2 linked regions of the Nothobranchius furzeri genome follow. The protein of the gene in region 2 purifies or fractionates together with the protein of the main gene of each other region. This does not show direct contact. Links are inferred from orthologs where the notes say so. Each region holds a gene or a part of one and is shown on either strand. Other genes may lie near its edges. The genes, in order: haus2 and haus5.

The links.
Region 1: the proteins of haus5 (region 2) and haus2 purify together in Homo sapiens (affinity purification with mass spectrometry; 5 studies listed by BioGRID and IntAct, with this or other methods). This does not show direct contact. The link is inferred for Nothobranchius furzeri from reciprocal best matches to the Homo sapiens genes HAUS5 and HAUS2.

The regions. Positions count from the first base shown.
Region 1 is NC_091758.1:16,490,409-16,507,992, reverse strand, and holds haus2 (HAUS augmin-like complex subunit 2), read left to right. Parts: upstream 1-6,420; 5' UTR 6,421-6,572; exon of another isoform or gene 6,573-6,576; intron 6,577-6,862; coding exon 6,863-6,943; intron 6,944-7,877; coding exon 7,878-7,976; intron 7,977-8,709; coding exon 8,710-8,779; intron 8,780-9,418; coding exon 9,419-9,566; intron 9,567-9,648; coding exon 9,649-9,757; intron 9,758-12,297; exon of another isoform or gene 12,298-12,400; intron 12,401-12,506; coding exon 12,507-12,671; 3' UTR 12,672-12,717; downstream 12,718-17,584. Other genes in the region: lrrc57 (leucine-rich repeat-containing protein 57), read right to left, coding at 1,784-1,825, 3,468-3,653, 3,786-4,054, 4,129-4,264, 4,352-4,435.
Region 2 is NC_091748.1:57,501,327-57,517,310, reverse strand, and holds the end of haus5 (HAUS augmin-like complex subunit 5), read left to right. Parts: intron 1-77; coding exon 78-210; intron 211-475; coding exon 476-635; intron 636-759; coding exon 760-856; intron 857-1,034; coding exon 1,035-1,126; intron 1,127-1,228; coding exon 1,229-1,283; intron 1,284-1,376; coding exon 1,377-1,504; intron 1,505-1,586; coding exon 1,587-1,668; intron 1,669-1,813; coding exon 1,814-1,968; intron 1,969-2,519; coding exon 2,520-2,682; intron 2,683-2,915; coding exon 2,916-2,996; intron 2,997-3,079; coding exon 3,080-3,225; intron 3,226-4,055; coding exon 4,056-4,152; intron 4,153-5,224; coding exon 5,225-5,363; intron 5,364-5,526; coding exon 5,527-5,659; intron 5,660-6,191; coding exon 6,192-6,294; 3' UTR 6,295-6,463; downstream 6,464-15,984. Other genes in the region: paired amphipathic helix protein Sin3b, read left to right, coding at 7,197-7,307, 8,317-8,423, 10,319-10,472, 11,424-11,783, 12,663-12,818, 13,204-13,329, 14,757-14,846, 15,144-15,262 and 1 more.

The sequences.
Region 1 (17,584 bases), on a different chromosome or scaffold from region 2:
AACTCTGTTAGCAGTGGAGCTAGCTAACTCTGATCAGACCATTTTTCTTGTGAGTAGAAACAACACGAAGAGGCTGCATCAGAGTACATTTGGTTTACTGGAAGATTTTATGAGAGTTTATTTTGATTGATCCATAAATATTATTCAGCACCGTGATGTTATTAATCCACATTCCATTATTTATCCATGGTTTGTTATCCATACATTTCAGACTCCTTGGACTATTACTCAGTGAACAATAACGGAATTGTATAGCTCCAGTGCTCAAATAAAGGATGTTTAATTTACATCAGTTTATTTAAAAGATGTAAATACTGTTATACCAACCTAAGGATCATGTAGTTATGACTCATCAAAAGTGAACAAGACACTATGGCACCAGGTCTGTAAGTTCCTGGTGTTGAGCTTTACCAGGTTTACTTGAACCCACCAGACCTGGAGCCCAGTGGACCACCTGAACCCAAAACATGTTCAACAATCTCAAATAGAAACAACAAACTGGCTTTCTGACACAAGCTTTATTTAAACGCAGGAGGAAAGATTCAAGACCACAAAAATCCACCAATAAGAAGAGTTCCTTCATTCCACCAGCCAATCTAAAGCTCCAAACACAGAACGAGTCAGACTGGTTAGCAGAAATCTTACTAATATTGCCAGAAAAAAAGTCTTCAGCCATTCCTCAGGTTCAAATCCCAGTTTCAGATTTTAAAGGAGTTTTAATAAATAATAAATCTACAAAAAAATAAAACTATGTGAATAATAAATGTCATGTTTAGTGTGTTAGCAGGAACAGGAACAATCAGTCTGGCATGAAGCTTTAATGTTTCACAATAAAAGGGTTAAAACACCTGGACAGCAGACACAGGTAGGTCCAGGTGAATCGGGTCAGAACCGACTGAAGACATTAAATTCTAAAAAGATCAAATCAATGACATCATTGACAGCAGTGCGTTACAGTTAGAATGCCACGGTTGGTCATGATGATCAAGAACAGCCTGGACAAGCAGAAGCTGGAGGTCAGGTTCCTCAGACTCAACTTGCAGCTCTGAGAAGGTAAAACATTGAAACAGAAGCAATGTTGTGAAAAAGGAAACATCTCCAAACCCGCAGATGTTCCCTTCCTTCATTTGTGAGCATGATGAACTAATGATTAGACGCGTCAGGATCAAGGTCCAGCACCAGCTCTGTGAGGGTGAAAACCCAAGCACCAGAACCGAGTCCCGACACGAACCAGAAGAACTCGGCCTTTCATACAGGAACCCTGATGTGTTTGATGTTAGGACAATAGACTGAGAATGTGAACTCTGAGACCAGCTCCTCTGACGGTTTACTCCTCCTGCCGTTACAGCAATCTCCTGGTTAGGGGTTGGATCGTGGACAAGTTGTGGGTTAAGTTAACAACAATCATCTGAAGCAGAAGAAGAGAATGTTCTGGCTGCAGGCCTCTGAGAGATCCTCATTCTGGATCAGGTTTCTTCTGTAACATCTGGAGGTGGTCCATGACCTCCACCTTACCTGCTGGTGGTAGAAGTTGATGTCCATCGTGAAGAATGAAGCTTTAAAGCTTTACATCTGAAAATAAAATACTTCTACTATTGTAGCAGTTTGTGTGTTAGGACCCATCTGGCAGCAGGGTTAGGTCTTTTTGAGGACCACGTCACCTCCTCAGGTTTGGTTTAGCTCCTGGAGAATAAGCAGCTGTGGGGGGTGCAGGGGCAGCTTGGGCCAAAGCTGAGACGACTCTGTACCTAGTGGAGGTCCAGGTTTTACCATCATCAGAGCTTCAGGCAAACTTCTTCTTAGTGGCTGTGAAGCGCTCCATGTACTGGAGAGAGAACAGAGACCATAAAAGACCATTAGAGAGATCAATAAAGATCATCATACACCATTAGAGACCAGCAGATACCAGTAAAGACCAGTAAAGAGTAGTAGAGACAAGTAGAGACGATTAGAGGCCAAAAGAGACCAGTAGAGACTAGCAGAGACCAGTAGAGACTAGCCAAGACCAGTAGATACTAATAGAGACCAGTGGATACTAGTAGAAACCAGTGGATACAAGTAGAGACCAGTAGAGACTAGCCAAGACCAGTAGATACTAGTAGAGACCTGTAGAGACCAGCCAAGATGAGTAGATACTAATAGAGACCAGTGGATACTAGAAGAAACCACTGGATACAAGTAGAGACCAGTAGAGACTAGCCAAGACCAGTAGATACTAATGGAGACCAGTGGATACTAGTAGAGACCTGTAGAGACTAGCAGAGACCAGCAGAGATTAGAAGAGACCAGTAGAGATGAGAAGAGACCAGTAGATACTAGTATAGACCAGTAGATACGAGAAGAGACCAGTAGAGATGAGAAGAGACCAGTAGAGATTAGAAGAGACCAGTAGAGATGAGAAGAGACCAGTAGATACTAGTATAGACCAGTTGATACGAGAAGAGACCAGTAGAGGAGACCAGTAGAGATGAGAAGAGACCAGTAGAGACTAGAAGAGACCAGTAGAGATGAGAAGAGACCAGTAGATGCTAGTATAGACCAGTAGAAACTAGAAGAGACCAGTAGAGACTAGAGGAGACCACTAAAGACTAGAAGAGTCCAGTAGAGGAGACCAGTAGAGATGAGAAGAGACCAGTAGAGACAAGAAGAGACCAGTAGAGATGAGAAGAGACCAGTAGATGCTAGTATAGACCAGTAGAAACTAGAAGAGACCAGTAGAGACTAGAGGAGACCAGTAGAGACTAGAGGAGACCACTAAAGACTAGAAGAGTCCAGTAGAGGAGACCAGTAGAGATGAGAAGAGACCAGTAGAGACAAGAAGAGACCAGTAGAGATGAGAAGAGACCAGTAGATGCTAGTATAGACCAGTAGAAACTAGAAGAGACCAGTAGAGATGAGAAGAGACCAGTAGATGCTAGTATAGACCAGTAGAAACTAGAAGAGACCAGTAGATGCTAGTATAGACCAGTAGAGACAAGAAGAGACCAGTAGAGATGAGAAGAGACCAGTAGATGCTAGTATAGACCAGTAGAAACTAGAAGAGACCAGTAGAGACTAGAGGAGACCAGTAGAGACTAGAGGAGACCACTAAAGACTAGAAGAGACCAGTAGAGGAGACCAGTAGAGATGAGAAGAGACCAGTAGAGACAAGAAGAGACCAGTAGAGATGAGAAGAGACCAGTAGATGCTAGTATAGACCAGTAGAAACTAGAAGAGACCAGTAGATGCTAGTATAGACCAGTAGAAACTAGAAGAGACCAGTAGAGACTAGAGGAGACCAGTAGAGACTAGAGGAGACCACTAAAGACTAGAAGAGACCAGTAGAGGAGACCAGTAGAGATGAGAAGAGACCAGTAGAGACAAGAAGAGACCAGTAGAAACTAGAAGAGACCCGTAGAGACTAGAGGAGACCAGTAAAGACTAGAAGAGACCAGTAGACCAGCAAGAATCTCAGACGGGGGTCTAACCTTGTCGTATCCCTCCAGGTCTCGAAGCTTCTTGACTTCAAACAGGTTCCCTTCCACGGAGAACAGGGACACCTGGGATTCGGCCAGGATGGACTGGGGGATGGAGGACAACTCAAGACAGTTTTCCTCCAAACGCAGAACCTTTAGACGGGGACAGTGAGAGACTTCTGCTGACACCACTGAGATCTGTACAGGGATGAGAGAACTGGGTTACCTGATTGAGTTTGAGGAAGGTTCCATTTATTAGGAACCTGGTTCCAGCCTGAGTTCTACAAGAGCAGCTCTGAGGAAACGAGTGAATATTTAGGACAATGAGACCTGGTTCTGGTTCAGGTTGATCTCAATGGCCTGCAGCTCAGCAACCTCTGCAGGGACACTCTGAATCTGGTTCTGGGACAGGTCCAGCAAGTCCAGCTGCCTCAGGGATCCCAGTCCTAAGGGGAACTTGGAGATCTGGTTCCCAGCCAGGGACAGGGTCCGCAGGGCTTTGAGCTGGCCAAGAGAGGGGGGCAGCTGTTGAATCTGATTCCCATTCAGACTCAGGGTCTCAAGCTTCTTCAGCTTCCCAATCTCAGCAGGAAGTTCATCTGTGGACAAAAGAACCACCACTTCAAACATCCAAAGTCAGACATTCATCCAGGATCCAAGATTCAGGACTAACGGAGTCTGTTGTTGTTCAGGGTCAAACTCCTGAGCAGCAGGAAGTTCCCGATTGATGCAGGAAGACTTTCGATCTTATTCCCTGACAGATCTACGGTCCTCAGGTTAGCAGTGAGTCTCTGGAGCTCTTCTGGGAACTGAAACCAGACAGAGACACCTAGCAGTAAGACAAGTTCTGGTACCATGAGAGAGAAACATCAAAGCTCCAACGGAACTCCTCTCACCTCCTGGAGACCTTTACCCATTAGCTGAAACACCCCCGTCTTCTGGGAGGTTTCCAGGTGAGACTTCAGCACACTGTTCCCCATCCTGACCTATCCTCCACCAGAACACCTGAGCCTAGTCTAGACCAGAGGGGTGGAGCTCATATCCAGAGAGTCAATCAGCTGACAATCTCTTCTTCCTCAGGGGAGTTAATGAGATCAGCTGGAGAAAATCCTGCTAGAACACAATCCACAAACATTATCAGACCTTCTGTATACATGTATATATATGAGAGAGAGAGAGAGAGAGAGAGAGAGAGAGAGAGAGAGAGAGAGAGAGAGAGAGAGAGAGAGAGAGAGAGGAGAGAGAGATCTGTCAGGCTTTTCTGAAGTGTTTTTCTGTCCATTTTCTATCAGAAGCTATGCAAGAGATGGGTGTAGGAGACTATTTCCTCGTTCAGCGTACATGCTAAACTCAGAGTGCCTAATCATTTTAAAAAAAATAATAAGAAAAAAAAAGGTTTGTCAATGAAGCTGCTCTTTACAGTGTGTGGGAATGGATCAACTTTATGAAACACTACAGGCTCAGCAGTTAGATCACACACACAAAACAGCATTACAAACGTCATACAAAACAAGAGTCATGGACTTCCACCAGCCCCAGAGTGCATTAAACTTCGGTTATGATGATTCGAGACACAAACTGACAATCTGACACCTTCATAACAAATGTGTAAAAGATTTAATTCAGATATTAGTCCAAAGAGCTGACCTCCTACAGGGTTTTGGACTCAATTTAATCTTGTGTTGTCTTTAAGGATGTAGGGTCAGAACGTCCTTAGTTGCTTCTGACCTTCAGTTTTATGTTTAGGTGTAAATAAAACAAGCTCCAGCAAAATAAAAACTCAAGCATGCGTTCTAAAAAAGCTGCACAACATTAGAAACACATGCTGCTGCATATCATGTTGAGAACCTCAGATGTGATCAATGAGGCTGATCCTTGTGTTATTGTGTTGTTAAAAACACTCCACCACGTTCTGCAGCATCTCCACCAGCATCATCTGATCTGGGAGTGGGTGTGTTTATCAGATTCCACCTTAAAGACCACTGATGTAGAGCTGACACAGCAGACTTCAGTTGTTTTTGATGCTGGTGGGTTTGTGATCTTAATGCAGCTTCATTATGGATTCTATCTGAGTTTCAACAGAGAAAGAGTAGGAAACACTGGCCGGATTCAGATGTTTACATAAAATATACAAAATGTTACGAATTTCCATCTAAGGATCGGTGTTCCCACCACACAAGCTACAAAAGTAAATGATTTGAAAAGACAACAAACCAGTGAAATGTGTGATCTTTACAAATGCTGCAAAAATAATAAAGAGAACAACATCAGTGGCCATTCATTCTATTGGGTGACCTATTACTATTTTTAGTTTTACTATTTGCCTTTGATCATTTGACAAATATGGTTGTTGTTTATCTGTTTAGTTGGACCAGATGATCCAGCTTTAGTTGTTTCTCACCTGGAGAAGACTAATAAAGACGTTTCGTGTTTAAAACGTTTCCAGTCAAAGACAAACAAAGTTATGACTGGATCTGAAGGACAGGACAGGATTATGGTTAGGGGCGTAAAGCTAAAGGCTAAAAGCTCACATTAGTATGTTATTTACCAGGAAACGAAAAATCGGAAATAAACAAACTACTTCATGAAGAATAAATAAATATTTTAATGGCCACTGATCAGTCGACAACCAAATCGAAGTCACAGACCCAAACAGCTCTGCAGCATCGGGTTCTGAAAGAGGCGTTAGCATGACATGCTATATCGGTTTGTTGAGTTCTTACCTCCGATCCGAATCTTTAGTTGTGAGTCAATAAATTCTGACTTTATGTGTGAAGAAAAGTTCGACTAAACAAAATAACAAAACAAAATATAATATAAACAAATAAGTAACTTGTCAAAAGTCCTTTGATGAAAGTTGGCATCAGCAGGTCCGATTATGTCCCTGTCCTCCAGCCCTGTAGGAGGCGCCAAAGGCTTAGAAAGAGTCTGGGAGGCGCTAACGCGGAACAGTAAGCGGAAGTGACGATCCTGGCGGGTATCTGATGGTTTTTAGTCGCTCTGAACCGCAAATAACTCATAATTATCGACTGTGAAATGGGAATGGTGTTTAGGATCGACGAGTAACGGATTAACACAAACAGGATCTGGAGTTTACGGACTGTTCGGCTAACGAGTGTAGGTCAGAATTTTGGTTACGGATTTGGATTAATGTTTGTTTAAACATTAATCCAAGCGTTTTGTTTACTGTTGTGGTCTGCAGCCCCATACCAGTGCTAGCTAGATTTATTCTGAAAAACGTGCAGGCCGCCGGAAACGACTAAATATTCAGACAGAAAATTAAACCAGATGAAACCTACTCTGCATTTTCTACGTCAGACTGCATTTTACCGCTGCAGAAGTCTCTTAGGACTTACTCAGGGTTACAGATGGTCTGTTTAATCTGATTATTCAGTTTTATTTTCCAGATGTGGGAGCCATCGCTGTTCTCCGTCACTCCAGCTGCCAGCTTGCTGTCCAGATGTGTCTCAGTAGGAGCTGTGTCTCAGGTCAGGACTCCACAGGCAGCTAATCCAGTCACACCACCCTGAGGGTTTGAAGGAGATGCTGTTCTGAACGCATTTTAGGGAGATGGTCCATGCATCCTGTTCTTGTCTCATATTTGGCTCAACTTGTGTCCTTGTTGCCTCGATCATCACTAGTGACCCAATCTAAGGATAGATAATCGACACCTTTCTAAAAAACAAAATAAACTTTGAGATTTGCAGAAAGAAATATGACACATCTTGCAGATGAGGAGGCTGGCGGCTCAGCCGATGAGATGGTAAAAACATTTACAGACTTGTAGACCCTTCTGATCACACTCACTCAAAAACAACCTGCCCCCACCACCGTCTCTGACCAATACGTTCTTGTGAATGTCTTCAAATTACTAATTGGTGCATTAATTGTCTTGCATACAACAGCACATCCAGTCCTAATCGGACCAACAGCTATTTATTGTCGCGGTGCAGAATCAAGCCGTTGTAAACCGGGCCAGGGGTGCACATGCCGGGTTTCTGGCAGTGGGAATTAGCTGAGTAGTGGGCTGACATTTGTTTGATATGATGAAGATCGTGTGTCATTTCCTGCAAAAAGCTCCTATCTACGTGTTTCTGAATCGGTCAAACACAAACAGAAAATAAACAGACTGCCGGTCTCAGCAGAGTCAGGCCTCTGCCATGTTGCTCCACCGTGGGTCGGGTCACAAAACATTTAGGACCTCCAAATCAACTCCAAACATCTGCTTTTATCACAGTTGCTGTTTTTCAGCAAAGTGAAGAATCAAAACCTGTCCATTATATGGAAAATAGTTGTTTGTCACGTTAATCTTATTATATTTTCACTAGTTAAGCTGATTTTGGTCAGGTCCTGAACCGGTACGACCCAGGTACTGACCTGGGTCCAGTCTGGAGATGATTTTATGCGTGGATGTGTTTTCAGGATGAAATCGACGCTGCCTTCTCCAGCCCAAACCCTGTGTTCTCCACGCGCCTGCAGGAGACAGAAGAGATGATCAGGAACCAGAAACAGCTGGATGAGGTGAGCTACAGATGTTGTCATTCAACAGTCGGAAACAACAGCATACACTGTTTGGTAAGGAGGAGATGGGTTTACCTCCCGTAAAGCTTTTAGTTCTGCTGCCACGTGCAGAACGAACACATCTCTGCAGCCGTTATCCCTGGAATCTGATACTTTTCTCTGAAATAAAACTTCACTTCAGCTCATTTTAAATTGTCATGCAGCTCAGTGGAGGATGAGAAGAGCTATTGAATTAGTTGATGTCAAGACCCGTGCTGCGCAGTGGTGCAGTGGTTAGAGCTATTGCCTTGCAGCGAGAAGGTTCTGGGTTCGCTTCCCGGCCTGGGATCTTTCTGCATGGAGTTTGCATGTTCTCCCTGTGCATGCGTGGGTTCTCTCCGGGTACTCCGGCTTCCTCCCACAGTCCAAAAACATGACTGTTAGGTTAACTGGTCTGTCTAAAATGTCCTTAGGTGTGAGTGAGTGTGTGCATGATTGTTCGTCCTGTGTGTCTCTGTGTTGCCCTGCGATGGACTGGCTCTCTGTCCAGGGTGTACCCCACCTAGTTGCCCATTAACCGCTGGAGATAGGCACCAGCAGCCCCCCCCCCCCCCCCCCGCGACCCTACATGGACAAGCGGGTTCATAAAATGGATGGATGGATGGATGTCAAGACCCAGAGCTTCATGACAGGTCTGGTCCAGGATCAAAGGTTTCCTGTAAAAACCTGACCATTTTTGTTGGTTCTGATTCAGTTGCAGCTGGAGTTGGAGCTGCTGAAGATGGAAGAACGGAGCGCTGATGTCTCTCATGATTTCCATCTTGGTGAGTTTAAACCTCAACTGGCTTTCTCCCATTCTCAGTAGAACAGAATAGACTTAATTAATCCCACCGCAGGGAAATTCACTCGTTGCTGCAGCACATACTTTACACGTGGAGAAAAGGAAGAAAAGAAATTATGTTGTTTTTTCTTTTTGAAGGTAATTAGAATCTGTTTGGTTTATTTAGCAGCGATCTCAACACAAGTCAGTTCTGAATGCAAAAGTAAAAATAGTCAATTCAATCATTCTAAATGTTAAAGTGAAAGAAGACAGCAGATCGCATCAAATTTTGTTTTAGATTTATTCTAGTGACTTGATGGGTAAAACTCCTTGGGGCATTGTTAAACCTTGAGTGAGACACACACACACACATAGTATTTTCTGTCTGTATGGTGGAGAGATAAATGAAATAACAGGAAGGAAGTCAGAAAAGCTGTTTGTGACTTTATTTAACCTTTGAGACATCTATAACAACAACAACAACGCTTTAGTTAAACAACTGATGAGTTTCTGTCCTCCCTGTGGAGACGACCAGAAACATCCATAACCACCTTTACTTTCATTGCTGATAAACATTTGGTTAAAAAAAAGTTATTCCATCAAACATGAAGAAACGAGTGGGCGGTTGTATTTGGGTCAGCAGCTTGTCTGATTCCAGATCAGAAGAACAAGAGGCTGCAGCTGTTCGCTTGTCATCTCCTTGATCTGCTGAGGGAGCAAAGGACTCTGAGACAGAGACTGATGCGACCGCTGGCTCGGACCAACCTGCCTGTCCCGGCCCACATGCAGAGGTCAGAATGGTTCCACAACAGCTTGACCTGAGACCAGTCTCTGAGGCGTTGTTGACATGAAGTTGTCTGGTTTGGGTTACAGTTTTATGGTGAGATCCGTGGAGCTGATGATGGACTTCGTGGCGTGTCTGGAGGAGAAGCTGAGGTCAGCCCAGATCCAGACCACCACCGCCGACAGCCTCACCCTGCTGGTCAGTTACATAAGCAGACTTTTCTCAGATTACCTGAATAACAGGTACATTAAATGTGAGGGCCTTTGTTCTGAATTTGTTGCTGTTCAAAAGGGGTGCCACAGGGCTCAGTATTGAGACCCATCCTAGTTATTTTGTACATCAGTGTCCGGGTTCAAGATGTTTCTGATACTAATATGCACTTCTATGCTGATGATGGTTATTTACATTTTTGGACTATCACTTTCTCAGGTCATAGAAACCCTGCAGAAAACTCACTTCAGTTAAAACTAGTCCTCAGTGGGGACGAGGCTAAGCTAATATTCTTTTCTAACAAGAGCGTTACTCCAGTAGGGACCACTCTTGATAAAGGTGGTTCATGAATACAAGTACCTTGGAACTGATGACTCCCTCACTTTTAAAGCACACGCAGGAAAACTTGTGAAGAAATTTAAACTTAAGTTAGGCTTTTCCTTCCATGATGTTTTTTTTTTGTTTTTATTTTGGAGTAAAAAAAAAGCCTTGACACGGCAACTTTTTTTTCTGTGCCAGATTATCGTGGTCCTTTTTCATGTGAATCGGTGGCGGCTGGTGAATTTATTTTTTGGTAGGGCTCAAATTAACAAGTGGTGTGCCAAAAAGAGCATGCCAGCTGAGATTTGCATGACTTGTTATGGGAAGGTGCATATAAATAATGAGATTTTTTTAATAAATATGTTTATGTTTATGTATTTAGCGGACACATTTTTCCAAAGCGGCTTACAAGTTATAATCGGCATGTTGCCCTTGAGGCTAACAACAACAATAACAACAACAAACAATTTCCAGTCAGTCGTAGGTGGCAGTGAGGCAGCATGATGAATCATGGAGAGGAGGGAACAAGGAGTGGACAGTAGAGAGTTTTTAACATGCTTCTTATCCATTTGCTTCCTTACACAATGATGCTCTATGGGCAGATAAATTAAAAAAATGACAGTTTATTTGAAAAAAATTTTTTTATTTGTCTTTTTGAATCACATTCCTGTTTCTTTAAACCAACTGCAAAATTCAGGCAGGCAGAAAAAATTATATGAAAATACACACTAAACATTAGTCTCTAATGTGTTTAAATAAAACGTGTCAAAAACGTAAATGTTCATTATTACATCATATTTCTAGTCAAAAACAAAATGTTTTCAGGAGACACATTGATTAGAAAAGTGTTAACATTATGAATGTATTAAAAATCGCCTCATCGCTCATAATTCTAATAGTTAAGTCTGAAATTTGTGTTTGGGATGACTGGGCTGCTTTTAGATGTGCTTTCCACATTTCACCACCAGGGAACGCCAAATCACCATTCTTATGTCACACCGACAGTCCAGTATCAGCAAACTTGTTCCAAAAAAACATGCTCAATATTTATCAATATATGCAAATTCAGCAAAGCTAAAAGCATCAGTTCAGTCTTTCCTTTGCTGGTTTAAGGTAATAATCAGAGTTCTAGTAAAAATAATCCACTTTTTTACATGCAGGAGAGAGTTCAAAAGTCTCTGATGCCACATTCCATCATTTTCTGGTTCTTCATAATAACAAAACTCCTTGAGGTGGTCTCAGCTGCTCTACAACAGCACAGGACGGTGAACTGTGGAGAATTTCCAGTTCTGTCCTGACCTGAGCCGAGACTCTTGTCTTCAAATGTTGGACTCAGTTTATGATGCTTCTTTAAAGTGTATCACTGACTAGAGAACGGTGACACGTGACGCATCACTGGGGTTGGTACTCATGAGTGGAATGGTTGTCATTGGCCTCTGGAAGGCAGGGACTACGATGTACAGGTGAAACTTAAATAATTAGAATATGGTGCAAAAGTATATTTGTGTCAGTGTTTAATCTTAGACTGAGAGACCATCTAAAGGCTCAGGAACCCTCTGTGTTCTTGATTCGTCAGCTGCAATTAGAGTGTGCCACTTGGAACATTTTCATAATTTTCTATTTGAGATTTTGAATGTTTTCATAAGCTGTGAGCCGCAATCGTCACTACTCTAAAGGCTTCAAATATCAGACCATCTCATATGTTAGTTTAATGTTTTAAGTGAAATTACTGACATAAATGAACTTTTGCACCATATTCTGGTTGATTTAGTTTCACCTGTATTTATTTACAAGGCTAGGCTTGGGTTACTGCCTCCTTACATGTGCATTTTCATCACACTCCGACTCCTGAAGATCTAGTGATCAGCTGTTGCTCTCTGTCCCTTTTGTCTGCACGGTTTGAGAAGAAACTTTCTCGGGCCATTAAAACCCTGCAGAAAGCTTTTGTTAATATCCAGTATTCACTTCTCATGCACCCCTCTTTGCTTGGAACTATCTGCAGAACGACTGGAAATGTATTGACTTATTCACAAATCTGAAAGACATCCTCAAAACTTTATATTTTTTACAATCTGTGTTAAAGTTTTAATAAAAAATAAAGTCATTTAAAGGCAAAAAGTCACCATTAGTCTGGCAGAAGCAGCTTTAATCACTTGTTTTCATTTAATTAAAAGATAACTTAATGTTTTACATCCGTTCCTGTCCAGGTAAGTTCCAGTTTGAGGTCATTGACTAAATCTTTCTAATGCTGATCCGAGTCCAGTACTGCCACCTGTATAGGAAAGCTTGTGATGCCTTTAATCACTGCAGGTAATTTAGAGCATTCTAAGGGGTTTTGGTGTATTTTAAGTTAACCTTATTTGCATACAGCTGTTTTTGATCTCCTCTCTTCTTAATTGATCTCTCTCTGCATCAGGAAACGTCACACTCCCTTATGTTGACCTTAGCAGCAGACGTGGAGGCTGCGTTTATGCAGATTCTGCAGAAGAGGAAGAGTAGCAGCCAGCAGGAGGCGTCAGAGGCTCATCAGCGCTCCCTTTACACAACTTGCTGTGATGTCACCAAGTTGCACAAATATTAGATTGCACTTTTTTAAGGAATGTAATAAAATGTGTTGTTCATGTGGAGGCTTCCTGATATATATATTTTTTGTTATGCCTTCAGCATTTTGTCTCAAAGGCACCAGGTCCAGGAGGGTAACCCAGACCATCCTCTTCTCAGCATTCATGTATACCTGTAGATTTTATCGGGTTGGTTCTGGGGCAGAATTGGGTCTGAGGTTAGAGGTTTTATAATCTGGAAGAAGAAACCTGATCAAGCTTTTTGGTTTGAGATTATTAGGTTGTTTTTGCTCAACCTGAATTATAATCCAGTGTTTACAGAAATATTAATCTACATGGATCAGTTGAACGGTTGTAAACACTCAGGAACAGGAAGTCTTGAACCCTGTATTAACTGACTAGAAGAACATTTCAGATCTTTTAGTGTTTCTAAGAACAGGAAACAGATTAGTTCTGACTGGACAGATGAGCTGTGGTCTTCTTCCAACGTGTTTCTGCCTTCTTAAAACCACTCTTAGACATTTCAAATGTAATGGGAGATATTTTATAAAAATGTACATAACCATAAAGTAGATGTTACATATTGTTTCACAGAGAATTCTGAGATTATGTTTTCCCTGAATACAGTAAAGGAATGGGACATATTTATGAAATAACTTCTGTGGAGTTCTTGGTGTTAAAATTGTTTTAGGCCTTTTGTAAGTAGCCTGGCCTGCCAAACTCGTCATCTGTTTAATTCTGCACAGAGAAAGAGTCCGGTAACTCGCAGGCAGAGAGCAAAGGCACTTGAGGGCGGGACTAGGCAGCTCAAAAGTGACCAATCAGAAAAAAGATGAAAATGCAGTTTTCTAGCTGTAGTAAAAAATAAAAAAAAGGCATCTGGCAACGGTGTAAACATCTTTTATTTTTTTTTGTAGAAGAAATGCTTTTCGCGCTTCTACTTGTGGTTTTAAAGACATTTGAGTCATTTAGAACAGAGGAAAGAGCCACCGCGAACTCCGCCGCTGTCTTCGTTGTTTATGAGAAACTGAGCGTTGCTGTGTGTGTGTGATGTCCATGACGCTGTAATCAAAAATGGAGTCTGGCGACAGCGCAAACATCTTCCTTTAGAAACAAGGCTTTTCGCGCTTCTACTTGTTTTAAAGACGTGTCCAAGTCATTTAGACCAGAGGAAATAGACGCAGCAAACTCCGCTTCAGTCGCCATGTTCGACAAACTCGGCGTTATGGTGTGTGACGAACGCTACTCGGCTCTGATTGGTTCGGTTACAATTCTCACAGGGTGGGGTTATTTGAATAGAGTTCCCAGACCCTTTCTCTGTGTGTGGAGCAGAGTCAGGTAGCTGCATGTCTGGGACAGAAAATGGGACATGAGAGACTTCTGAAGTGTTGAATAAACTCACAACAAAGAATCACAGATGTTAATATTTCTCACTCTAGATTCTCCGGGTCAAAAGTTCTGAATTACTTATTGAATAAAAATAATTCAAACGGTTTCTAAAAGTACATAAAATGAGCTTTCCAACGAGGTACATGATGTAATTCATGTTACTCCAAAAATCGCTATCAGAAGGAAACCAGCTTTGCAGCGTCACAGAAAGAAACGGAGCGAACCGCGACGGGAGAGCAGAGAACCAAAGGGAGGAGACAGTCTGATCATCTTCATCAGCAGCTTTTATAAAGTTATGCAAATAAAATCCACCTGGTTGGTCAGGTGTCCCAGAAGGCTGTTTCTGTAGATGGTGACATGAGGAGGGACAGATTACTGTCACACTGGTTTTTATTTGAACACTCAACTGTTTACTAAATGATTCAGCTTCATTCCAGCATTATTTATACGTACAATAAATATTTATTTAGCTGAAAATATAATGTTATCAGTGCAGAATTTTATTAGTTGACTTTTTGTAATGAAATGTTTAGATTTAACCTTTTATCTGCTTATTGATCTTCATAATGCTGGTAGAAATGTAGCTACAGCTGTGAAGTAGCCCATGAGTGTTATTTTATGATACCTAGTATTTATGTTACTGTATCCCGTTCTCTGGACCAGAGTATAGACCTGTGGTCACAGACAGTCATTAAACTGGTAATTGTGAGGTCAGGGGTCACACTTTTTTCTGAGTGTTTGCAACACAGTTCTGAGTTTAAATACCGGTAGTTCTTTTGACATAGTTTGCTCAAGTCATTTTGAAGTTCCTGTTTAGTAATAAATGTAAAGAAAATTCAATTCTGTTTTTTTTTTCATTTAAGCTGCAGTTTTACAGACTTTAATAAACATAAACACTAAATACAAACAGACACTGAAAGCTGAGGTTGTTCTGAAAAAAGGAGCAGAGTTACAAACATTTTACACTTTTTGTTACAATTTTAAAGCCATAAAACAAAATAAACTGTTATATTTATGGTCATAAGAGGGTTAAACATGATAAATTTTCCACCTCCCACAAAGAGATGGTAAAAGTGAATGTGAGCATAAATATATACATTTCATTACTTTATTATGTATTTTTTATTATTGACAATTACTCCAAAGGGTTCAAATAAAGGCAACTGGACTTCTTTGGTTTCTTTAAAACGTTTCACTTCTCCTCTGAGGAGCTTTGTCAGTTCTAACTGGAATATGGGAGAGCCAAGCTTATAAACTGTAGCTGTCCGTTGTTATTTAAAGAGCAGAAACTACTCTGAGTACCCCGCCTCTCCATCTCCTGATGAGTCGTTAGCCTCTATTGATGGTGAGTCATCGTGTTGATTAGATGCAGGAAGGTGTGACCTAGACTGAAATTGAATGAGATCCAAAGCTGCGTACTGGAAAGGTGAAACCTAAGCCCCGCCCCTATTTAAAGTGGGGTTTTCCATGTTTTACATCGATAGCTTCTTTTACTCCTCTCTCAAATCATCTATCTTCTCTGTCCAGAATGTGGACTTTGTCATCTTCAAAGGTGTGTCCCTTGTCCTTCAGGTGAAAGTGGACTGCAGAGCTTTGACCTGAAGAGGTGGCATTTTTTCATTTATCACTCAAATTGTATCCTTCCGTGTGTTCAATAAAGTTTTTAAGTCATGACGTGCTCTGATCACGTGGCACTGTGTTTCCGGTTGAGTAGATTTTTAGATGACGCTTTTCTGGTGGAGTCTGGTTAATCTTTGACACTCGGTAAGACTCCCAAACTTCATATTTATCTGTCTGATTCTCCGTTGCGGTATTTTACAATCCTTATTCATCTAGCCGCTTGAATATTTAAATGTGTTGCTTCAACCATTTCTGTCTAAATTCACGAGTAACGGCTGAATGTCTGCTAGTGCTTGCAGCTAACTGCTAATGTTAGCGCAGCTGTAAACATCTGAAGTGTTTGAAGCAGCTGTCTGAAAAAACGAACCGACAGCATGCTTTTCGATGCGTCTGACGTTGTGTTGTTCTGGGTAAAGATGTGTATTGTTTACCAATGTTTGTTTGCAGTTTTCATTGCAATAATAACTAGTTTCATTAAGCAACCAGACTGTTTTTTTGCACAATGCTTTATACAAACTGGTGTAGCACGGTGATTAAACACGTAACAGGTGGGAAGAATTCAGTTGGAAGCAGCAAAAAGAAAATCTACCAGCTCTGAAACCAGCAGTGATAATAGTCTTATGAATAATAGTAATAATTATTATAATAAATCAATTGAGGAACTTTATAAACAAAAAAGTATTCACATTAGAGTTTAGTTCTCAGTAAACTCAGGTAATCTGAAAACAACGGAGGCAATCATAATTAAAATCTGATAGTATTCAAAGGGTACTAAAAGATAATTTAAAACTTAAAATAAAATAGTCTAAAATAGTAAAGTAAAATACTGGAGACAAATAAAAAATCACCTGGATATCAAAGGTATTGACTTACTCTCTAGTAATTTCTTTCGTATTATCGTTGCTGCAGGCCCTTCTGTGTGATGTAAGCTGTTTAAGCAAAACAGGAGAGGCGAGGCGGGGGACAATATTGAGTTCGAGTGGGCCATGTGCCAGGCTTCCATTGTCGGAGTGGTGGTCGCAGGGTCGTAGGTGCCTGTCATGGTAGCAATCCCAGAACCTTCTGGCGATTAGGGATGCCATCAAGCTGAAGAAAATCTTTTTGGCCTGTGGGACTCCAGACACAGCTGAACCGGCAGTCCAAGCGGAATGTGGCCTGTGTGTCACTGGTCACCAAGGCAAAAACCCGGGCGTGGGGGGAGTTCGGTGAGACCATGGAGCAAGACTTCCATGCGGCTTTGAGGAGATTCTGGTCTATCATCCGGCGCCTAAGGAGGGGAAATTAGTGCGCTACCAACACTGTTTATAGTGGGGATGGTGTGCTGATGATATCGACTCGGGATGTTGTGAATCGGTGGGTGGTGGAGTACTTCGAAGACCTCCTCAATCCCATCGGCACGTCTTCCAGTGAGGAAGCAGGGTCTGGGGACTTTGGGTTGGACTTTCCAATCTCTGATGATGGTCACTGAGGTGGTCAAAAAACTTCTCAGTGGCAAGGCTCCGGGGTGGATGAGATTTGCCCAGAGTTGCTTTCCGCATTGCCGGCAGTAAGTTGTGCTTGTTTCTGGTGAGAGTTGGACTCCGCCAAGGCTGCTCTTTGTCACCTATTCTGGATTTCTAGGCACAGCCAAGGTGTTGTTCAGGCGATCCGTTTTGGTGGTCTAAGAATTGATTCTGGTTTTTGCAGATGATATGTAGCCTAGTGAACTAGACCAAATTCTTGCTTTGCAAAGAATGGTCTAGGCATGCTCCATTGGAACCTCAGCAGCTCCTACCAGGACTCTGGCTAGCCAATCACAGCTCTCTAGAGGGGTTTCAAACACATAAAGAGCTGTGATGGGCCAATCATAGTGCTCTATCTGCTTAGTGAACAAATCACAGAGCTTTATCCGCTTTGTGGGCCAATCAGGGCACTCTATATGCCT
Region 2 (15,984 bases):
GTTTATTTCTACATATATGGGTCTGTTATAACCACAGATAATTTTCAGTATGTTGGGTGGTGTGTCTGCATGTCAAGCTGGTTCAGACTAAAGGCCAGAGTGAAGCTGCAAAGCGTAAAGAGCTGCAGATGAAGATTGAGCAGCTGAAATGTGAGATTAGTCACCTGGATTCTCAGATCAGTGGAACAGAAGAACAACTCGCCGCACAAGGTTAGTTCATCTCAAGCTGTGTGCTTGTAAGTTCAGATCTAGTTGTTTCTCAAACACAGAATACATTGATTACTAAAAGGCTAAAATTGTTTTACATTATTTTCTGTTCTGTGACCAAATTGTATGCTAAAATAACTTCACTACACAATTCGTTCCATCTTGAAATCTGATGCAAAAATGTTGTTTGTTGCATTGAAATAATTGAAGCAATTTTTTAAGTTTTTTTTTTCTCATGTCAAATTTGTCAACCATCCCTATTACACAGAACAATCTGTTGGTCAAACCTGGGCCCAGATGGAGGACAGCCAAAGCAGAGAGCTGTTTCTGCAGGCCTTCAGACGGCACTGCACCTTGAACCGTAACCTGCTCTCAGATGATGTGCAAAAAATCAGCAGCCACTGCCAAGTGCTGGAGCAGATGGAGCAGTAAGGCAGAAAAATTCACTTAAACATTAAACTGGCCATGAAAGCAGATATTTTAAGCATCTACTACAAGTTACACAGCAAGTGATTGTATATAAATAATTTAAAGAGTGTGCTTATGTTGTAGGAGTGTAGAAACTGAGGTTCTGTTTGACGATGCTCCATCCAGCAGCAGAGCTGATGACGACTTCAACTCCCAGACTGTAGCAGTGGCACAAGTCCTGGTGAGAGCTGCTGAAGTGGTGGTGAATCTAACCACCCTCTCTTGTTAGAGCTCTTATTAGGCTGCCAACATCAATAAAATTAACTTGCTTGTTTAATTTTTTTCTACAATTTAATAATTTTTCAGTAAAATAGAGTACTGAGAATATTTGCATGAAAAATATTTATATTCTCCAACAGCGTGACTTAAAGGAGCTGAGCGAAGACAGGGTCAATTTCTATCAGTCCTTACAAGAGAGCGAACTGAAAACTCAGCCCTCTGCAACAAAAAAGTAAAGATAGTCTATTTTACACTGTTTAAGACATTTTATTAATTTTAATTTATGCATTCTTAACTTTTCTGTTGTTTTCTACACTGTGTCACCCCCTAACAGCATGACTCATGAGCAGAGGATGGCTGTGTTTCAGTACTGGCTGAGTACCGCTGAGGTTGGTTGATTTTATTGAGATCTTGCTGTGAAAGTCATTGTTTTGGTGTTGGATTTTCATATAAATGTTTAATTCTGTTCCTTGTGACATCAGAAAGTGTTGAGCAATTATCCTCCGAGCCACATTCTGTCAGCGCTGCAACATTTGGCTGCAAGAGAGCAGAGGGAACTACAGGAGAGAGTAACAACTCTGGACGTGACAAAAGATGCTGCAGCACTGCAGTATGTAAAACTCCACATCACTGACATTATCTACATGCATGTTGCTTTTTAATCAGATTTCATGAGCTATTTTTTTTTTCAGATTCCGATATGAAAGCAATCACCTTCTGGATATCTCGGCAGAGGAGGGCAATGAGTTACCACCTGTCAAGACCCTCCTAGAGGTGCTACGCCTTCATTTACCCGTTAAAATATCTGATGTTCACATTAAAAGAAAAATATGCATGTTTTTCTTTATTATATGTGAGTGCTACGCTTTTATTTATGTCAATTTTATATATATATAAATATATATATTTGTTGTTTCAGGCTGTTTGGGATGAGGTACAGCAGAGTTTGGTGGAGCTGTCTCAGACTCGTTCCAGAGTCCTGCAGCTCAAAGATCTATTGCAGGACCGTAAGAAGGAGGCTGAGGAAGAGACGTCTGGGATTTTTAATGATGTCCACAATGAAACCATGGCACTGTAAATTTACAAGCACTGCAGCTGTTTAAAGACCAAGTTCACTGAGAAACTGATTTTTACTTGTATTTTTTTTTATATCTGATCGGTCACTCGTAGTTCAACATGCAGGCTAAATGTGAAAAAAGTCTTCTGCCCCTATTAGTTGCCAAAAGAAAATAGATGGAGAAACGCTCTGATTAGAAAATTCAGTCAGACCTTGGCTCACACACGGTAGGAAAGAGCGGAGGGCATCTCTGCTAGTAGAAGCTATTTGTTAGCATTAGCAACTCCACAACATGACTGAACTTCAGGCTTGCAGAGCAAACGGAGTCAGTGGTAGAGTTGCAATGCTGTTAACCAATCATAGGTAAGATGTCCAAATAACAGGAAATAAGAGTGTAAAGCCTGCTCACCTCTGCTCTCACTCACTTCTAGTTTCTGAAACAGGAGTGCCACAGGTTTTTCCCACAGAGATGGACTTACAAGGCATTCATTTATACTAGAGACCACAGCAAATGTGTTGAAAAAGGAAGGAACTTGAATGAAAAAATGCACACACTATGTGTTAACAGGTCAGCATTTGAGGTGGAACTGCAGTGTGTGATGAAGGCAGCAGCTCGGGATCATATCAGAGATCACTGCATCCAACTCGACCAACATGCCAGAAACCGTCAGGAGGCACTCAGAAATCTTTGCAGCCAGTGGCAAAACATTCAGGATTTCAGAGAACTGGTGGTAAGAAGAAACATGGCTTCTGTTCACTTTTGCTGTTAAAAGCTGTAATCCTGAATAAAAGTGCCTGCACATGGTGGATGCAACATTTTTGCATATTTAATGTTCTTTTAAGAATTTGGATGTCTGGGTATGTATAAAAATAAACATGTTTATTTACTAAACTGTGATTTTGTTGGGCAGAACTGTTTAAAAGTAACAAAGAAAACAAACGTGCTGCACCTGTTTCTCTGCAGGCTCTCAGGCAGGAGCAATTAAGAGGGCTTATTAAAGGGAACTCGTCAACCAAGACACAACTGACATGTCTTCATAAAGAGGTCTGAATATAAAAAGCAGAACAAGCACATTTTTGCTGCATTTCTTGTTTCAATACAGTTTTAATCTATTTGTTTTATTTCAGTTGCAAGAGTTCATTGAGATCAAACTCAAGCCACAGTTTGAAGATGTGATCATAGCTGCCAGCTCGCTACGGAACTCCATTTCTAAGGAGGTCATACAGTTTGGGAACGTTTCACTCCTGTCTCTGGACCGCAGGACTGTGGAAGGGTGAGAACCGGTTTCATGAATCTTGACATCTGAAAGACTATTGCAAGTTTGATAAGTCACCAATAAAGCTTAATAACACGAGTTCTTGATCAAATCGCTCCTGATATCTATTAAAGTTGCTGTCCGGAGTTTTCCCCTTTCAGGAATTATGTAGGATTTTTCAGAAATCCTTAAATTGATTGTCTTATGTACTCTGATATAATATAGGAAATGCGTTTTTTTTTTTTTTTTTGCTAAGCCCGCTCCCTGTCTCGTAGAGCTCAATGCAATATGACCTGAGTGCCATTCAGCACTAACCAATAGCGTTAGATTACTGCTTACGTACAGATGTTAATCACAGAGCGTGCTTGAGCATTTAAGGACCTCGGTTGATGCAGAGTTGGCGATCTTTCTTATGGACAAATAAGTCTTTATAATATAAAAATGAAAAGACAACGTAATAACTGTAAAACGGTGTGTTTTGTCGGCTAGAGGAGCGCGTTCATAAACGAGAGGCGTTACTTTTGGCCGTAGATAAGGAAATGAAACAGGGTTTTGGCGTGATACGCCTGTCAGCCACTAATGGTGCCATCCGATAAATGAAGTAATCCGGAAAGCAACTTTAAATGCATTTTACAAAAATCCTTTATAATCTAAAATTAGAATTACACAATAATGTTGCTCGCTTTTCTTTCACAGGTTTGAGTTTTATTATTATTAAAGCGGTACAGCACAACAGTTATCTGAAAATGTTCACGTTAATTCAGTAGCAGACCTGTAACTGAGTTGCACTTAGTCATTTTTTGTTTTCAAGTGGCAACTTCTGAAAAGAAAAAACATCTTTCTTTCAGAATGCAAAGACTTCCAGTGTCCTCGTTGTCCATTTACCGCTTGCAGTCCTCAAGCTTCAGCAACTTGTGTCAGACCCTGAAATTCCCTCGTTACAAGGTGAGGACTGACATTTAAAATGCTTCTGTTTACTATCAAAATGTAGGGATGGGGAATAAAACAATAAAATGTCACTTTATTGTCTTTATGGCAACGTACATTTTAGAGTACAAACTACTCTTCATGCAACTAGAACAATTAACATGACTAAACATGACATAATGGAAGTATACCCACCTAAAAGGGTTTAAAGTGAATATTTATTTTTTATACCTTAACAAAAATGTTATTTTTTTTGTAACTCTGCTGTTTTGCCAGCAGTTTTCTTGACTTTCTTTAAATGTCCTTTTTAAGGCATGTCGATTTCCCTCAGCAGCACTTGAATGTAAAGCTGTGCTTTAAAGACTGTGTTTACTTATTTGTTAATAAAGTTAGTAGTTTGTTAAATGGTTGCTGGCAGATCGACATTTTTGGTTCACGGTCTGCATCCTTAACCTTTACACAGTGGAAGTTATTTTAGGGAAGTCAGCAGGGCTGATGGTACGGGTAGAGTTTTGTGGCTTGTTTGTCTAAAATGCAGAAGTTAATATAAGTCCATTTTTGTCAAAATTTCTTCTGGGTGAACATTTAACCTTGTTTACATTTCAGAATAAAGGGAGTTTTCATTCAGTGGTGAGGAGGCAGATATGTAATTAATACAACTGTCCTTTCTAGTCTGTAAATTAGGCTGTTTGAAATCATAAATGGTACTTTTCTTTAATGTTGTGTTTGTATGATTCTTTTGTTTAATTTAATTTCTGCCAGATATGTTTGTGTTGATACTAAATCTTTAGAAAGCTTGAAAAAAAATCACAATTTTTATTTGATTTTTGCTTTTATTGTGAAGCCCTAATAAGCAGGTTCCACTGTACTGTGTCTTTGGATTAACCGCTACATCACCCATGGAGATACTCGTGGTTACCTGCAGTCTTGCCACTCCGAATGCTCTTTAAGTCAATCGCTAACTGCAAATGTGCTTTTAACATGCTCAGAGTAATGTTCATGAGGCATAATAGCTGCACAACCTGCAGGCTGACTTTTATAATTCCTTGATAAGTACAGTTTTGATTAATCTCACCCCCTACTCTTTCAGGCACCAGAGGAGTTGTGTTCCCAGTTGCGATCCCAACAGCTTGAAATGTGTTTTCTCCACGAGCTACTGAAACTTTACTCCTTCACGCTGCAGAAAGTACAGAAAGAAGCAGAACAGCTGCATGCGCCTGATCAAAAAGGTATCTGAGGGAAGGTCAAAATAGAAAAAGTTCTTGTTTTCTTTAAAAAAGCACCCAGAAGTGTAAATTTTGCTTGTTTGCACACATGTGGTGTTAAAAATAAATGTGCATGCATAAATGTGTAACGGTTTTAGTAAAAAGTTATTTTCTATCTGATTTCTAGCTCTGCTGTCCAGAGTCACTGAGGAGGATCAGAAGCTTCTGAAGGATTTGCTACCAAGAGCCAGAGGCCTCACCCATCACTGTGCACAGGGCCTTTTTTATGGAGCACAAGTCAAAACTGCCATCTCTGACTGGTGAGAGACAATTCTGACAGGAAAATAGTTGTACTTTATTGTTTTCTTTAGAAATTGCAACAAAGTAAAATGTCAACACTGCAGTTTTGTAATGTTGTGATTTCTTACACATATGGCAATAAAACCCTTCTGATTCTGATTAGATGTGTTCTTTAAAAAATACCTGTTAGACAAATTTGCTATGTTGTAAAGCACATTAAGTAGTGTGCTGCTTACCTAAACCTGATCTGGTAGTGAAAATGAAAGTGGTACGTTATCAGCCAGGCTACATTTCAAAGATAACTGTTAAGTTTGTTTTTTCCTATAACTTCTTCCTGCAGCTACTTTCACATATTAGCTGCAGTATGAGGTGTGCATGAAAGGTATGCATACCACAGCATGACACAAAGGATGAGGTGTTTACACAGAAAAAGTAGTTATACAGGTAAAGCTGTCATTAGCAAGCCTAGTCTATTTTACGTTGATGTTGTTATTCTTAAAATTTTCAGGGTTATTTTGTATTTACTGTTTATGTTTTTGTTTGTTTGTGTAGGTGGGACAAACCAGCCCAGCATGCCCTACCTGATGTCGTTAAAGGAGGGCTGACTTTCCAACAGTGGCTTCAGAGGTGGAGAATAGCTACCAAAGCCTGCTAGTTGACACCTCCACATTTCTACACCTCTTGCTTTAGGAACCTTTAAGAAACAGATTACTATACTGTTAGTTAACTAGTGCACATGTGTAAGCTAATGTGTGTGTGTTGTACTCTTGTTGGAACTCGTTTTATCATGTAAAATGCAGTCATCAATAAATTTTACTCATTTGTTTTTGTCTTAGCTTAATTGCCTCGCTCAGTTACCCGCAATTCATTCGTGTAGAACTATTTACTCCTGCACAGAAAACATGCTGGATGTGGTCACGTGGTGTTACAATAAAGCCGTGCATCGATAGCTCGATCATTTTCTGTACGGTTACAGTTCCGAGGGTTTTAGTTGAACCTACAGTGCGCGTGTGTCATTTAGCGCGGAGCTACATTGTTCTTTGTAGCAGTGAAGGGGGAGTGGAGCAATCTGATTCTTGTGAACTCGGCTCCTCCCACTGCTGCGGCTGCGCACTTCAATTTTTCACTCATTTTTTTTCTTCTTATTTTTCACTCCTACTCTGGCTTCCGGACGCCAAGACAGACCACTGCCGCCGAATTTAAAGAGACAGGCGATAGTTCTTTTAAAAAACGTTAAACGACAACCATTGTGTTCGAGCTTATTTCCCTACCGTTCGTGCTTCCGTCTGCTGAGTTCGCTGGTGATGTTCGGTCGCACTCTCGGCGAGTAGCAGCTTGTCAGTCATCACCCTCCACTCTGCCCGGGGTTCCCTGTTCTTTTCGCCTCTGTGTTGAGACTGTCCAGCCAGGCAAAGTAGGGTTGCTCGCTTGCTGGCAGGCAGGCTGGCTTCCCGACCGAGAGAGCAACGTTTGTCGCCTAGCCAACAACTGGAGGTAACATCGAAGCTTCCCTCGTAAGTTGTGGTAGCGGCTCTCGAGCCCCCTGCCGCCGGGATAATGGCGAAGATTCAGGCGCACAGCGCCGCGAAGCAAATAAACCAAATTCAAGACAAGCCTTACGTTATAACACAAAAGCAAGTGCAGCAGCAGCACTTCCAGAAGCTGAAGGTAAGAGGACAACGGACACGACAAGCGAAAAGTCTCAGTCACAACCATTTTGTTCGTCGGCTCATTTCAACGCATTAGATTTCTCCCCGCTCGAGAGTAGTGAAAGAAACGGCTGGCTAGCGATAGTTGGCTTAACTGGACAAATAAAAGTATTTCACACCTGAATTGTTCGACACTGACATGTAAGGTTAGACGTGGAAGCTGTTTTCCATTAATGAGTGTGCGAGTGACAGTCGAGTGACTCGGTTTGTAGTACTTTTCTTTTTTTTTTCATTTGCGCCATCAATGGTAGCTGCTGTGAGCAAACATAAAACGGCAGACCTCGGTTGTGGGAAGTTCCTCCTTGTTGGATTTTTTTCAGTCAGCTTGAACAAAGTGGGGGACATCAGCCAGGCCAACCAACAACGGCTACTTCAGTTGATTAGCAGCTTCATTTTACGTGTCTTTGTTGTCGCAGTGTGTTTTTAACCTGTCGTTTAGCTTTTGCCGATACGACACATTTGGCCGGGGACCAGCTGCGACTAAACGTATTGTGTAAAAATTGTATGCGGGTGGGTGTTAAGAGTGTTGGGGAGTATTCAGTTGACTGGCTGTGTTGGCTAATGTTAGCTACAACAACCCTCTTCAGATGTAGTCTGTTGGTGACAGTGCTTTGTGTGAACAGTTTTTTTTCCTCTCTCTTCGCTGTCTAAACTAGCTCGTTTGGTTTAGAGAGCTCCAGAGCAATCAACCAAAGCTGCAGAGGTTATTTATATTTAAATCTTTATCGTATGTAATTAAGCGAACACGTGCAGCTTGATCTGCAAATTGTTTTTTGATTAAAAAATATATTATTTACCATGATAGTGGATATTTACATTGTATAATTATAAGAGCCACGTTGTAAGTACTGTGGTGTAAGCAGGGAGCTGTCTCATCCAACGTCCGTCAAATTCATCTTCAACCATCAACAAGATGTAATCTGTTTGAGACTAATTATCCTTTTCTCTCTCTTTTTTTCTGTAATCAGGTTGAAGATGCCTTGTCGTATCTGGATCAAGTCAAAATTCGTTTTGCAAATGACCCAGGAATATACAACAAGTTTCTCGACATCATGAAAGAGTTCAAGTCTCAGAGGTATCTGTGATTATGTCTAAGCAGACTAAACGTTTGTATTAGTCACTCTTGATCAAAGCTGTTCAGAGTTGGACAATGTTCTTGATCTCAAACGTTTTCTTTGTTTTGACTAGAGGTCAACCGATATTGGTTTTTCTAATGCCAATGTCAGTGGCTGATGTGTATTGCAGATTTTTTTGGGCTGCTTTTCATGGCCAATATCCAGACATTTTCCACCTTTTCATGCTAGAATTTCACCATCGATTGATGCACAAAGTTCCTGAATCTGTTTTTGAACTCTTAATTTAACTAATTGTTAAATCTTTGTGTATTGCTCAGTGTTAAAGTCAGACACATAAAGTTAATTTGGAGTGTTTATTATGCAGATGTTATTACTGAATGTAAAAATACATTTAAATTTAATTCTGCAACCACACCGGGCTGCCCAAGGATGAGCCTGACTTTAAATCTGCTTTATTTAGGACAAATATCAGATGATGCCAACGTATAAAAAACAGTAAACGTTAATCTACCCCAAGTTTTGACACAGAAATAATGAACACCACTTTTTTGCTGTTCTTTAATCAACAATTCTTAGAGACAGGAATATTGTGACAAACTGACCACCACTGCAAAAAAAAAAAAAAAAAAAAAAAAACGCTAGTATAGTTTAAAACAAAAAGGTGGGAACAGATTTATAGTACAGTAGTAAAATTAAGTCCGTGAGCTCATTACTTGTCTAATTTTTTCCCTACCTTAACCATATTTCGAAATCACCAGTCTGTGCCTCTGTGTGGTGCTGGGTGGCACACACAACAGCTGTTCATAAATGCTATTTGTTTTCAAATTTGCCAGCTGGCATTTATAAACGTCTGCTAGTTTGGAAAATGATGGTCACAAATGCTGACTGCTGTTTCAGATGTCATTTAAGAAAACATTTAGAAGAAAAAATAAATGAACCACAGTGGCAAAAAGGAAACAATCATATTTTTTACTCCTTTGGTTCTTGGTAAAGGTTCAAAATAGGTCAGAAACTCAAACTAATTATCTGTTATATTATTGACAGACATGCGATATGTCATATAAGCAATTTGGTTCCCAGGAGATGCACAAGTGAAAATGACCCAGAGACATGCTTCTTTACATTACCCAACAATATATACCCAAATATTGGCGCAGTGGTTAGCACTGTTGCCTCGCAGCACGAAGGTCGCAGGTTCAAAACTCAGCTGCGGCCTTTCTGCGTGGAGTTGCGTGTTCTCCCCATGCATGCGTGGGTTTCCTCCGGGTACTCCGGTTTCCCCCACAGATCGCAACATGCCCTATAGGTTATAAATTGTAAGTCGCTTTGGATAAAAGCGTCTGCTAAATTAATAAACATAAACATATATTCCACAAAAGCATCATGATAATGTCTAAAGTCTTGCAACATTTGTACAAACTTCTCACAATCAAGCACTTGTGTCTGGGTCACTTTCATTTTAGAAGATTCTTAGTAGATCACATCGTAGATAAAAGCAGACAAACTTCCTCTTTTAAAAATTTTAATATATTTTTAATTAATTCAGACTGGTGAATCGTTGCTGTAAAACGAATGCTGACGTTGCCTTCACAACTCCCTGTTGTTGTCCTGTGAAAAAGGCAAATACTTTGAGCACACTCTTTGAACCACTTGATTACAGTTGTAGGTACGCCTGACTCGAAAGGAAAACCCTTTTATACAAGAATGACCTAATGACCTTGATAGAAGAATTTACTATATGTCGGTTGTGCAAAAGAGCTTTGAAGTGAGTGTTATTGCTTTGAAACTTAATATTTTAGAGCTTGTGTTCTAGATACCATCCTACTGGGTGGACAAGGTTAATTTTTAGTTATTTATCTGTGCTTTACTTTAAACTGTATATTTTTTTTAATAGCATTGACACACCAGGGGTTATAAACCGTGTGTCTCAACTCTTTCATGGACACCCTGACCTGGTCTTGGGCTTCAATGCCTTCCTGCCACCCGGTTATCGGATAGAGGTCCCAAAGAATGGGATGGCCTTCCTTCAGTCTCCGTTCTCCACACAAGTAAGAAAACCCTTTTCCTCTTCATGCTCCTCTTAGATTCAAAAAAGCGATTTTTTTATTTAATCATTTTCATCAGTCCATCAAAACCAATTCCTATCTTGGTGAGAGCTACTTGGTGTCACAGAACTTTTACATTCTTCAAAAGAACCTCTTGTGTTTGCGCCGCTCCAAATTTGATTCCAGTTGTCCGACTCAGGAAATGAGCTGAATTTTTTTTTTTAACAAAACACAGGAGTGAATTTGCCAGTTATGTGTTTAAAAGATATTCACAACTGAAGTTTAAATGTTTGCTGTATTTATTTTGCACAAACAAATATTTCCAAAGTGTGTTCCACTTAGCCGAATATTGCATTTGTGTGTGTTTCTGTTTGACATGATCTTTTGTCCTCTGCAACTTCAGTAGTATATTCATGACGTATTTTTCTGAGATGAAATATAACAGTGATTTAAAATAAAATGCAGTAATAACAAAAACAAATTACATTGAACCTAAAATTCAACGGATTTTTAAAGTTTGTAGGGAAATCACCATCAGTCTCTGGTTAGATGACCCGAGGCTCCAAAATGAGAAGTAGCTTCTGCTTTAGCAACTCCACCCAGACTGTTTTAATTCATGTTATGATGACGATGATGATGATGATGATGACATATACGTGTTGTTTATTTAGTTGAGCTTATTTGATCATCAGCATGAAAAGAAATGGATCACTTTGAATCTTTCTGGCATTATGGGGAGTTAGCATTTTCTATTTTGAAAAACAACCCCAAACCTGGAGCTAGATCCTTTCACTGGATAGTCTCTTTGCCAAGGATGAACACAATGCTGAGAGGCAGAAGGTTACTTGAGAATTAGTCATTTTCATTAAGGATACATTGTTACAGTTTCCATTGAGAGTGACGGAAATGTTTTTGACAAAACTCTTTTTCTATCTTCTGTGTCCATCTATTCAGGTGTCCCCAGGACAGCAGGGCAAGAGCCTGACTCCTTCAGTTGCAGCAACCTCCAGTACTGCTTCTGTTGTCCATGCTGAAGCTGGACCGGCCCAGACCAGTGAAGTCAAGGCAGCCTCATCAGATTCTATATCTTCAACTCCAACTGGACCTCCAGAACCCCCCAGCAGACTTTCTCTTCCCCTGACGAGCAGAGAGAGCCAGAATCAGGCCACCTCCTCATCCGTTTCTCCACCTGCTTCAGAGACGAGTCCTGTTGAGTTTGACAGTGCCATCAGCTACGTAAACAAGATTAAAAACCGTTTCCTCGACCACCCAGAGATTTATAGGTCTTTCCTCGAAATACTTCATACATACCAGGTACTGAAGAAACGATGTGGCAACATTTGATTTTGTAACTATTTGGGGATTATGTAGTTATTCATTGGCATCTTTTGTAATGGCTAATTTCATCTTAGTGGTTTTTACTGTGGTTCTAGTGTTAGTAAAATATATTGAAGCACTTTTATTCCAGGAAAGAATTGGTTTACTATTGCCTGCTTTGTGTTTTATTTACAATCATTTTTAAACAACATAAGTCATAGCTGGAGTCAAAGTTTGACAACAGTGTGTTAATTTCATTGTTTTGATGTTCTTATCTTATACACAGAGTAGCAAAGTTTTCCTTTTTACCTTATTTTGCCGAACAGAAAAACAATGTAACTAGAAAAAAACCCACCAAGGACATAACAAGGAGTGTTCATGTATTTAGGCTAATATTGTGTATGATTACTCAAACCAATACACTTATTTACCTTTATTAGTGAATAAAACCTGAACTTTACGGGCGATGGTGGCACAGGAGTTAAGTGTTCGCCCCGTAATCGGAAGGTTGCAATCTCTTGCTGTTGAGTCCTTGGGCAAGACACTTAACCCACCTTGCCCGCTTGTGTTCGGAGGGACCGGTGGTGCCTGTGTACGGCAGACTCGCCTCTGTCAGTGTGCCCCAGGGCAGCTGTGGCTACAATGTAGCTCATCACCATCAGGGTGTGAATTGGTGAATGACTGACTGTGTTGTAAAGCACCTTGGGGGGGAGGGTCCCAGGAATCTAGAAGGTGCTATATCAAATACAAGGCAAGGCAGCTTTATTTATACAGCACATTTCAAACACAGAGGCAATTCAATGTGCTTTACAATTAATAAAATACAGGCCATTTACTTTACAAATAAAAACAACCACACCCCTCCTGTGACTTCAGAAAGAGCAGCTTGAGGTGAAGGAGAGTCGAAGCAGTCGAGGCAGCAGTGGGATGACCGAGGATGAGGTCTTTTCCAAAGTTGCCAGTCTCTTCAAGGGACAAGAGGACCTACTTGCTGAGTTTGGACAGTTCCTGCCTGATGCCAAGAGGTCACTGGTAAGTTTAGGACATAAAATAATAAAATTAATAACTTTTGGCATATGTTGAAAAATCAGTTAGTCTATATTGGTGTAAAAGCTTTCATCAAACCTGGTTTTCACATTAAAATTATGTTTAAATACTATGTTGATTACTGTTCTTTCAAATGTTAAAAACAGTCTTCTGTTGGGCTTATTGAATGCAAAGGTTTGTTTATTTTTAGAAAGATTAAGTAAGAGTTTTCTTTTTAATTCATAACAGAACATCAGAAATCCTGACACTCTACTTTCCTGTGTTTGGACCAAATGCCCAAAGAAAATGTGTTTAAAATCGTAACTATTGTCCATGTTTCATTAAGAACACTGTTCTATCTTTGCTGATGTTTATTTTTCCTTTCTTCTAGTTCACAGGGAGTTCGCTGACTGGAGGGAAAGAGCAAGTGAAAAAATCAGAGGACGAGGACATGATTAACAAACAGAACAAAAAAAGGCCCAGGCCAACACTCATGCACATGTCCCCACTGCTAAAGGTACATTTGTACTTTCCTTGTGTCGATACAGTTAAAGTACACAACATTAGATGCTGAGAATAATACATTGTGTTTAGTCATGACTGAAGGCACATTTCTTATTTTTGATGTGGGATTCAGTAGATTGATCAACACCCCTGTAACTTACCTGCTGTAGACAGCAGTCAAACGTGGGACAAGCAGATAGAAGTTCTCCTCAAAAAGTCAAGCCAACAGCTTGTTCTAAAGCCGACTTCTGACTTTTTAAACAACTTAAATCACAAGTCCTCCAGTAAAAATAATGGCTTCAAATGTTGCTGGAAAACCTCCATTAACATTTGAAATCACTCATGTTTACCAACACACTATTATTTTTTCCAGCTTTATGCTGATATCAGGCTGGTTTTCCTCTTTCACATTGTGATTTAGCCACATTTGTAATGAAATACTGGAATCATATACGTGAAAATCAATTATATATAAAAAATGTGTGTGTATATATATATATATATATATATATATATATATATATATAAATATAAAGCTATAGAGATGTGCGTAGGTATATTCATGTGTGTATGTATATGTAGTGGATACGTGTGTATGTCTATATGGATATGTATGGATGAAATATGTGCGAGCATATGGGCATGCAATGCACTTTAATGTATATATGTATATAAATGTGCAAAAATTCTTTTGCTTTTTGAATTTGTATCATTACTACTAATTTTCTCTTTCTTCTTTACAAATTGAACTCAAGTCAGCTAACCAGTCGAGCAATTACTTTGTATAGGCTAATTTATAATTTGTTATTTCATTGTAAAAATGTAATTTTAGTTAAAAAGGGACAGATAACATACGTTTTCTTCTTTCTGTTCCCTTTTCATTTTCTTGGTTTGAGAAACCTCAATTTATTGGTTAGCATTTTTTTTCTATTTTAATAATAAATGGGCTGCATGGTGGTGCAGTTGTTAGCACTGTTGCCTCGCAGCACGAAGGTTGCAGGTTTGAAACTCGGCTGCGGCCTTTCTGCGTGGAGTTGCGTGTTCTCCCCATGCATGCGTGGGTTTCCTCTGGGTTCTCCAGTTTCCCCCACAGATCACAACATGCCCTATAGGTTATAAATTGTAAGTCGCTTTGGATAAAAGCATCTGCCAAATAAATAAACATAAACATAAATGAAATAAATATAAAAAAGAAAATACATTTGTATCCCTCCATGTTTTCTCTGCTAAACATTTAGAAGAAGCTGCGCTTGTGAATGCAGCAACAGAACTCTTTCATTGATATTTATTTTGTCTGCCTGACCTAAAGTTCTGTTATAGAACTGTCTGCTTTAGACAGTTTCCCAACTTAAAATGATAAGTTGTACAAAATGTTTTACCTATGATCATTTAAAAAACTCATATTATTTATTTATATATATATTAATTTTTTTTTTCCAGAAAAAAATGAGGTATTCTTGTACCAAAGATCAGTCCTTTGCTTCCGTTGGCAAACATGGTGTCTTAAGAGAATTCTCCTTCTTTGATAAGGTGAGGAATCGATTTTTAAAATGTTAATTTTGTTTCTTGTTAAAGAGCAAGTTCACTGAGAAAACATTTTTTACTTTGTTTTTAGAAATACTATTGGTCATTCTAACACTCTAGGCTGAACATGAAAATGCTGTAAATTAGTACAATTGGTGTTCATGGACTCACTCACTGGCTCATGATGGGGAAGGCTGTTGTGAACTTATTTAGGTCTTCTGCCTCCATGTTTCTTTATGTTTTTATTTCGACTGTATTTTGTCAATTGTCTGATGTGATTATCGTTTCAAATCACTTGTTCAGGTTCGTCGCCTGTTTAAAAGCCAGGAAGTGTATGAGAACTTTCTGCGCTGCATCGCCTTGTTCAACCAGGAAGTAGTTTCAGGGGCCGAGTTGCTGCAACTAGTGACTCCTTTTCTGGGGTGAGTGGACGGACAGATGAATAAATACGTACAGCAGCTAAATGGGAAGGTTATTCAGTCATCTGTAAACTTGATTTCAAAGCGTTAGGAAATACTAATGTTATAGTAGTAAAACAGATCATCTGTATTGCATCTAAATTATTTTACGAGTAAACATTTGGTTATTGATCAGCTGGTTCACTTCTAACTTATCTGTCACTACGATTTCATGAATCTTCTTACAGGAAGTTTCCTGAGCTGTACACACAGTTCAAGTCATTTCTGGGGGACAAAGAGCTCTCTCATGCTGTGTCAGGGCTGTCGGATCGTTACATGGAAGGGGGAGGAGGCAGGGAGGTGGATTATGCTTCTTGCAAGCGCCTGGGGTCCAGCTATAGAGCATTGCCCAAAACCTATCAGCAGCCAAAATGCAGTGGGCGCACTGCCCTTTGCAAAGAAGTATGTATCTGACTATTTAACCTATTTGGATTTGTTTATTTGTTTTATTAAAGGGATTTTCTTTTCTGTTTCTTAAAAGCTGATTTGTTCTGTTTTGTTTTTGTTTGTTTATTTTTTTTACTGAACGTTATTGCATTTTTTGTGTAGTACTGAAACCTGTAGATCAGTGAAACTAATATCAATGACAAAGTCAAGCTGCACAAAACACAAGTAAACACTAAACAGAATGCTATTTATCAGACTGTCTACCCATGGCAAATGAAGAAATGTTCTGCTGTCCAATA